Linked DNA regions of Lytechinus pictus. The main gene of each other region encodes a partner of the protein of the gene in region 2 in a complex. Links are inferred from orthologs where the notes say so. Each region holds a gene or a part of one and is shown on either strand. Other genes may lie near its edges.

Evidence for each region. The genes of interacting proteins can lie anywhere in the genome.
Region 1: DNA replication complex GINS protein PSF3-like (region 2) and zygotic DNA replication licensing factor mcm6-B-like share a complex: the UniProt entries of both Homo sapiens proteins name them as parts of the CMG helicase complex. The link is inferred for Lytechinus pictus from reciprocal best matches to the Homo sapiens genes GINS3 and MCM6.

Annotation. Positions count from the first base shown.
Region 1 is NC_087247.1:29,949,701-29,953,459, reverse strand, and holds the start of zygotic DNA replication licensing factor mcm6-B-like, read right to left. Parts: upstream 2,178-3,759; 5' UTR 1,687-2,177; coding exon 1,595-1,686; intron 1-1,594. UniProt on the Homo sapiens protein: Acts as a component of the MCM2-7 complex (MCM complex) which is the replicative helicase essential for 'once per cell cycle' DNA replication initiation and elongation in eukaryotic cells.
Region 2 is NC_087246.1:26,110,273-26,114,031, forward strand, and holds the start of DNA replication complex GINS protein PSF3-like, read right to left. Parts: upstream 2,400-3,759; 5' UTR 2,363-2,399; coding exon 1,964-2,362; intron 1,050-1,963; coding exon 810-1,049; 3' UTR 1-809. UniProt on the Homo sapiens protein: Required for correct functioning of the GINS complex, a complex that plays an essential role in the initiation of DNA replication, and progression of DNA replication forks.

The sequences.
Region 1 (3,759 bases), on a different chromosome or scaffold from region 2:
CAAAGCATGCGAGAGATGCACGTACGGCTTCGCAACTCCTACATATAACTAGTAGCCGCTTCATGCATGGCGAGCGCATTCAGTGCTATGGTGCACCGTACCGGGTACCTAAAGTGCCGTGATCCTGTTCCGTAGACCATGTTTTTCACACCGCGCGATATATACTAAGTTCCCAAGACCCTGTACTTTACCCTTTGTCAGTTTCTTTGACCCCCATTTCAGAGTTTCGTGAGGCACACCCCTTCAAAAAATCATTTGAGTGCCCCCCCCCCCAGGCCTACCACGGCAGTGCATATGGGATAGTCATGTCTATGGAGGGAGGTGAATATAGTTCTTTTGAAAATGAAAAAACTTTTCATCTCTCTTTTTTCATGTTTGTTTTCATAAGACTGACATTACCCCTCTACTATAGTATTGAGACTGTTAGACTATAGTTGAACAAAATTCGGTCTACCCATGCTAACACTGTTAAAACAGAACTCCAGAACAACAAAGACAAATTGGATGTGCATGTGTCATTTTGACAAAAAAAAAACATTGTCGCTTGCTCTTTTTTAGTTAATAAACATGATACACATTAAAGTTCATCATGCATGTTGCAACTTATCTGCTAGCTGCTCATTGTTAATGTTAATAAAAAAATGCAAATAAAATTAAAAGCAACTTGCAAGATGATATTGCCGGAGTAGAGATCTAACTTTACAATCCACTGTCATAATCGATTATGAGACTGAGAGCATGGATACAAACTGTAACGTTAGTGATAGAACGAGGCATCACACACACGATACGTCATTGTCATTATTTCACATGACATTCTAGACCAAAAGCTTCGGTATCTGTTTAATGGCTGTTCCGCTGAACCACCGTTGGCTCCACTCACCAATTACACTTTTAATTTTACAGAGACCGTAGTTCTAACTCGATCTGTCAGTACATGCAGGTACTCAATGGCCATATGTTTGTGTATTATTATTAAGTTCGGATAAACCAGGGAAGTAAAGTAATTGCGCGACAGCCGAAGTAAATGACTAAGACAAGTCACTGTTTTTTGTCCTTATAAGTTTATTTTTTCCCGTTTTGGTGCATTTCAGGATAAAGCGGAATAACAATCTTTATTTGGTCCAGTTCTTTTTATATATTTTTAATGAAATAAAGTAAAAAATCGATGAGCCCCGTCGGGAGGGATTTTGCATTGTTAACCCTCTAGGCTCTAATGCGGCTGCACGATCGCGAGCCGTCTGTGTACGAGGAGAACAAAATGTTTAAAAAATCCTCGAAGCAGACGGCTGCGGCCAGCTGTAGGCCTACTCTAAATAGTAAATGACATTCATTGGATTCTAGCATATTATTAAAGGTTTAACTTTAAAGTTTAAGTTTAACGTTACTCGTTAGCTAGAGTAACTTTACTCAATTATGAGAGCACGGATACTAACTCACTATGACTTGTAGTTAGAACGAGGCATCAACACACATTATATCACATGACATTGGATTCTACAGGTAAGCCGAGTTGGGAGTAACTTTGGGAAAACGTCATTCATCACTTCAGTGTTCATGCCTGGGATTAAAACTTATTTAAAAAAAAACTCACTCTTCTAAAAAATCTTGAAATAGCTTCTGGCATTTCTCTGCAACATCATCCTTAACTTGGGTGATACCAGTTCTTTGATCAGCAACATCCATTGTAGATTTGAGAAAAATAAACTTTTCTCGTCAACAAAAACAATTGATTGAATTGAGCTTCCTCAAAGATATTGACGTGCAGTGCATAAACTGATGTTACAATGCGGTACGGTGATTTGTCTGGCGCGTCGCCTGGTCTGGCCGCTGGGTATTGGATGCCGTTGATAGATGATCCCTGCTCCGATCCGCGGTACGGTCCAGCGCGAGATTCAATTCATCGCACACTTCTTTCGCGCCACGGCAGCCATGTGATTTGTTTGTGCAATTCCATTTATAACAATTACTCCCTCAACTTTAATGTTTTTAATTGATTGATTATACTAATAATCAACTTATTTTCATATCAAAAAATAAATCACCATATGAAAAAAAATATTCTTTAATATTAGATGCAAAATTGTTGTAATTTTTTTCCATGACTTTTCAAAATCATTAGACAAAATATTAATAGATAGAAAAATAGAGGAAGTAAAATATTCAAATATAACAGCATCGAGCGGGTAATTTTCCTCTCTGAAACGTAGATGGCGCATAATTAAAGGGCCAAATGTGAATAAATTACCAGCTTTTTGAGATTTTCTTTCAGTGATTGTGTGTGTCAATTTAATTCAATTCGAGACGCAGCTGCCCCAACCCCCATACGTTTCCAATACCAGTGTAAATAAAAATAATAACTAATGAAAAAGGAGAGGAGGGGAGAATAAGAAGAAGAAGGAAGAAGAAAAACAAGAACAAGAAGAAGAAGAAAAGAAAGAAAGAAAAAAGAAAGAAAGAAAGAAAAGAAGAAAGAAAGAAAGAAAGGAAGGAAGGAAGGAAGAAAGGAACAAGGAAAGAAAGCTTGGAGAGGGGGAGAGAGAATTAAAGGAGAAGGTGAGAAGTAGAAAAAAAAACAAGGAGGAAGAAGAATGTTCCGTCTTTAGATCTATATTCTGTTTCAATAACGTCTTAGGCCTATATTAATACAAATCTCCAATTTTTGGTTTTCACTTTTCCCTTCCCCTCTCTCTCTCTCTCTCTTTCTCCCCCCCCCTCCTTTTTTCCATTTCCTTTCTCTTACTTATTTTCCGAGTTCCTCTTTTCCTATTTACCCTTTGATTTTGCCTTCTCTCTTTACTTAAAGGGCAAGTCCACCCGAACAAAAACTTGATTTGAATAAAAAGAGAACTAAATGAAAATCCAACAAGCATAACACTGAAAATTTCAACAAAATCGGATGTAAAATAAGAAAGTTGTGACATTTTAAAGTTTCGCTTAATTTTGCAAAACAGTTAGATGCACATCCTGGTCGGTATGCAAATGAGGAGAATGATGACGTCATCCACTCACTACTGTATTTCTTTGGTATTTTATTAAATGAAATATGAATTATTCTATTTTCTCCTCATTGTCAAGCGAACAGTGACTAATTCCTCCCTTAACATGTGGAATTAGCATTGTTTAATACTATATGGTTCAGTCAAGTCGGTCCCTATGGTCAAATCTGTAAAAAATGAAATATTGTATAATTCAAACAATAAAAAACAAAATAAATAGTGAGTGAGGGACATCATCGACTTTCTCATTTGAGTTGTGCATATAACTATTTTGTGAAAATAAGCAAAATTTTTAAATGTCATAACTTAGTCTTATTTTAGATCCGATTTTGATGAAATTTTCAGCGTTTTGCTAGTTTGATTTTGCTCTATTCATTCAAATTAACATTTTTCTGGGGTGGAGTTGACCTTTAACAACATGTGCGAACTGAAATAACCGACTGGGCATTATTTTTACGACTATGGAATTCATATAAACAGCGTTTTCGTGAATACATCCGTTCATTAGGTTTTGGTTTTCACCCCAAAATAAAGGCGACTTCGTCCGCACGTAAACTTTGACAAGTAAAAAAAGGGTCTTCACTTGTGTAGGCCTATATAATAATTGGCGGCGGAGCAGAGGATTACTCTTTTGTGTTTGGGGGGGGGGGCGCCAATTGTTGCGTCCCCCCAAACACAAAAGATAATCCTCTGCTCCGCCGCCAATGCCTATGATTAAAATATATGCTGTGACTTTCAAAAGGGGGTGGGGCACACTTGT
Region 2 (3,759 bases):
TATGAAATATTCTAATTTTCTCCTCATTGTCAAGTGATACAACGATTAATTCCTCCCTGAACAGATGGAATTAGCATTGTTAAATACTATATGGTTCAGTCAAGTTGGTCCTTATTGTTAAATCTATAAAAAATTGAAATATTGTATAATTCAAACAATAAAAAACAAAAGAAATAGTGAGTGATGGACATCATCGACTGACTCACCTAGTTCTGCATATCACTGTTTTGTGAAAAATAAGCGAAACTTTAACATGTCATAACTTTCTTATTTTACATCCAATTTTGATGAAATTTTCAGCACTATGCTTGTTTGATTTTTCTCTATTTATTCAAGTCAGCATTTTCCTAGGGTGGACTTGACCTTTAAATAAGTCTAAGGTATGAAATGGGACCATGATATCTATCTTGTTCAGTGATCATCTTCATCCATTGCCGTTATTTTTTTATTCTCTTAGGTTAGCTACCATATATGTGATGTAGGCCTATATTCAATTCATATCTTACATAATCTATCGTTCCATGACCATCTTCATCAATTACTGTTGTTTTATTTTCATGCGGTTAGCTACCATATCAGATTTATACATGCGTCTTGTTATCAACATCAATCTTGTTGAGTGATCTTATTCATCCATTGCTGCTCGTTTCCTTTTCCTGTGGTGAGCTACCAATATCTGATTGATTTATATGCACATCTTTCATAATCTATCTTGTTCCATGACCACCTCCATCCATCACTGCTTGTTTTCTTTTCTTGTGGTTAGCTACCATATCAGATGTATATCTTGTTATCTACAACTATCTTGTTCATTGATCATCTTCATCCATTGCTGCTCGTTTTCTCTTCCTGTGGTTAGCTACCATATCTGACGTACAGATCTTTGTGATCTGTCTCGTCTCCCAGCTCTGAAAACTCCTAAGACTAGCCTGTCCAGCTCGGTAGATAGACCTCTCTGATTCATCCATCTTGCTTGTTAGGCGGTTATTATCCTCATGAGATGCATTCTGTGAGCCATCCATTACCTTGCGGAAACGATTAATGTAGGTCTGTGGAAAATACAACAATTATATAGAAATCTGGATCAGATACGTGCAGTGATTTGAAGTTTGTAAATGCAGTAGGCCCTACTTAAAAATGAGTAGAAAATTTTCATTACAAAAACAAAATTGTTTTAATCTTAAAACTAAGAATAATGATCCACAATGCAACTAGCTGTAGTTTAGCAAGTAGCGCTTGGACCTATATCAAAACCATACATTATTCTGAATACCACAAGCAGATTTTCGACATTATCATATTTTTTTCGGAGTCATACCAGGGCAGTGTTTCCCAAAATTTCCAGAATTTCTGTAAATTTTGATTTTTTTTTCCTGGAAAGGTTCGGGAAATGAAAACTCCAGGAAATTCCGGCTTGGGAAATCCAAAAATTAAAATTAATTAAACAACAATTAAACATAGCAACTTTTAATATTCATATAATATCTAAAGAATTTTTACCTCGATATATTGACTTTATTGTGTAGCTCAAAATTTTCTGTTTGTGCTCTGCACTTTCATTTAGTCATTTTGTTCCTATCCTATTTTTAAAGAGGGCATGGTCACTTGGACCAACTTGTTTAGGCTCATTCAATTGCCCAATTTTTGTTTAAAAATCAAACTTGAAAGTTCCAGGATATGTCTTTGAATTTCAGGAAATTTATTTTGGGATTCAGTTTCGGGAAATCTTTGGAAATACTTTAGGGGCTAAATCATATTCTAATTTCACACACATGCACAGTAGTTCACAAGACTATAGTCATGACATTTTTTTTCTCACTTTTTCATATCATATCATATCATACTCATAGTATCATAGTCTCAGACTCTCAGAGTCATACTATACTAGACAGTAGGCCTATAGATTTTGTTATTGTCTAACTAACGTTAAATCATAAATGATCTATTCACTAATCATTCTCACCTCAATCAATGACTTTGCGATGTCTTCGGATTCTGGGAAATCAAAACTGAGAATTTTAGTTCCAAAAGCGTAGAAGTAGGGGCCCATTTTATGTAAATCGACGATGTTTGCATCAGCACTCATTATCTCTCGGTAGGAGCCGCGAAAATACTTGGGCGGTTCAACGCTTACAAGAGGCCTGCGCCGCCCGAGGAGCCCGGTGACCAGCCAGTAGGGAAGATCCATTTTCGTACCAACTCGTATGTTTTCACCATCTGAACCAGGATTCAAAAAACCAAGTCGATGCAATGGTAGTTCAACCTTACAAGGTATCTTTTCATGAGTCGCAAGAATGTCGTTTATATCATAGTAATTATCTGAATTACTGCTGTATCGTGAATAAGTCAACGAAGATGCCATTCTCTTTGAGTTTTCAGAGTTTGAATTCCCGCATATCCAAAATAATAGAGGTTGAGCGCCATCTAGGGTCAAAATCAAGAGAATAAAATCTGAAAGCTTATCCACCACTATTATGGTCAAAGGATAATGAAACCCTGATGAGAAGTTTTGAAAGCACAAAAAATGGGTTTGAGTAAAATTGGACACACAATAAGAAAGAATTATGAGCGTTTGATTGTTGACCGGATTGTTTGAAAAATTAAAGGGGTACTCCCAGTGCCCCTGGGAACGATTGTGGGGGTGCTGAAGTGAAAGGGGGGGAAACTGAAGGTTGTTTTTGTACAGAGAAATTCGACAATAAAAAAGGAGGTATACTACAAAACGGAGGAGCTTTCGGTCCCAAGAAATTTGACTAGCCATTTTTTTTTTATTAAAGTGATTTCGGGATGCTTCAGCTCCCCCGCTCATAAGGGCCATGGATACTCAAGGCTGAAAATAATATTTGAACAGATAAAGAAAAATCAGGTGCTTATATAATTTATGTTTCATTTCAAATTCTTGATTGTGTTTGGATTGATTTAATGGCATTATGGGCATGCAATGCAAGATATTTCTTGATTTTGTGTATGATTGTGTGTAAACGCGTTTCATAATTATGATTTTAATGTATGATAATATGCTTACTTTATAGATTTTTTGAGAGTGTATTTGATATCAGGTGTTCTCATTTTCATATGAATTTGTTACCCCCTATTTTGTTCACCTAATATGAAGGTTTTATTCAGCTTGGGTCGGCTGTATTTGGCAGTTAATGATACGCGTACCGCCTTGACCGAACTGTGCGAAGTCTGTGTGGTAGAGATAGGCCGGGCCGTAAACACTACTTCTTGGGGGTGCATAAATTGCCCTAATTAAGTTTATAAATTGTGACAAAATAGAATCACTGTAATTTGTTTATGATATTGACTGTGGTACGACATAAGGATAACGGAGCAGCTTCTGTTTATGTTAAGATATAGACATATAAGGAAATGTTTTCTTCTGACCAAAAAGTGAGAATAATTTTCTCTGATTCTGTACTCCTTCCCTCGATGTACTCCCGAGTTCAGGTTCAGTTGTCTTAGCGACGCGTTGTTTACTACTGCGCGCATTGTGTGTGTACGTGATTATTGCATAGAAAGGTATTCGGCGTATTGTGTGGTGTATACACCGTTCATGCGCTGCACGTATACGTATATGCACCGGTATGCACACATTATTCATCCCTGGATTTGGCTTCTTAAAACGAGACAAGCATGATTTAACGTGAAAATTGACGGAGCTAAATATTAATCAATCAATATGAATTTTATATGTATGAAAAGCTTACATGTTACATATCCCTGTCTGGGAACGAGGATTTCCAAATCTAACGCAAA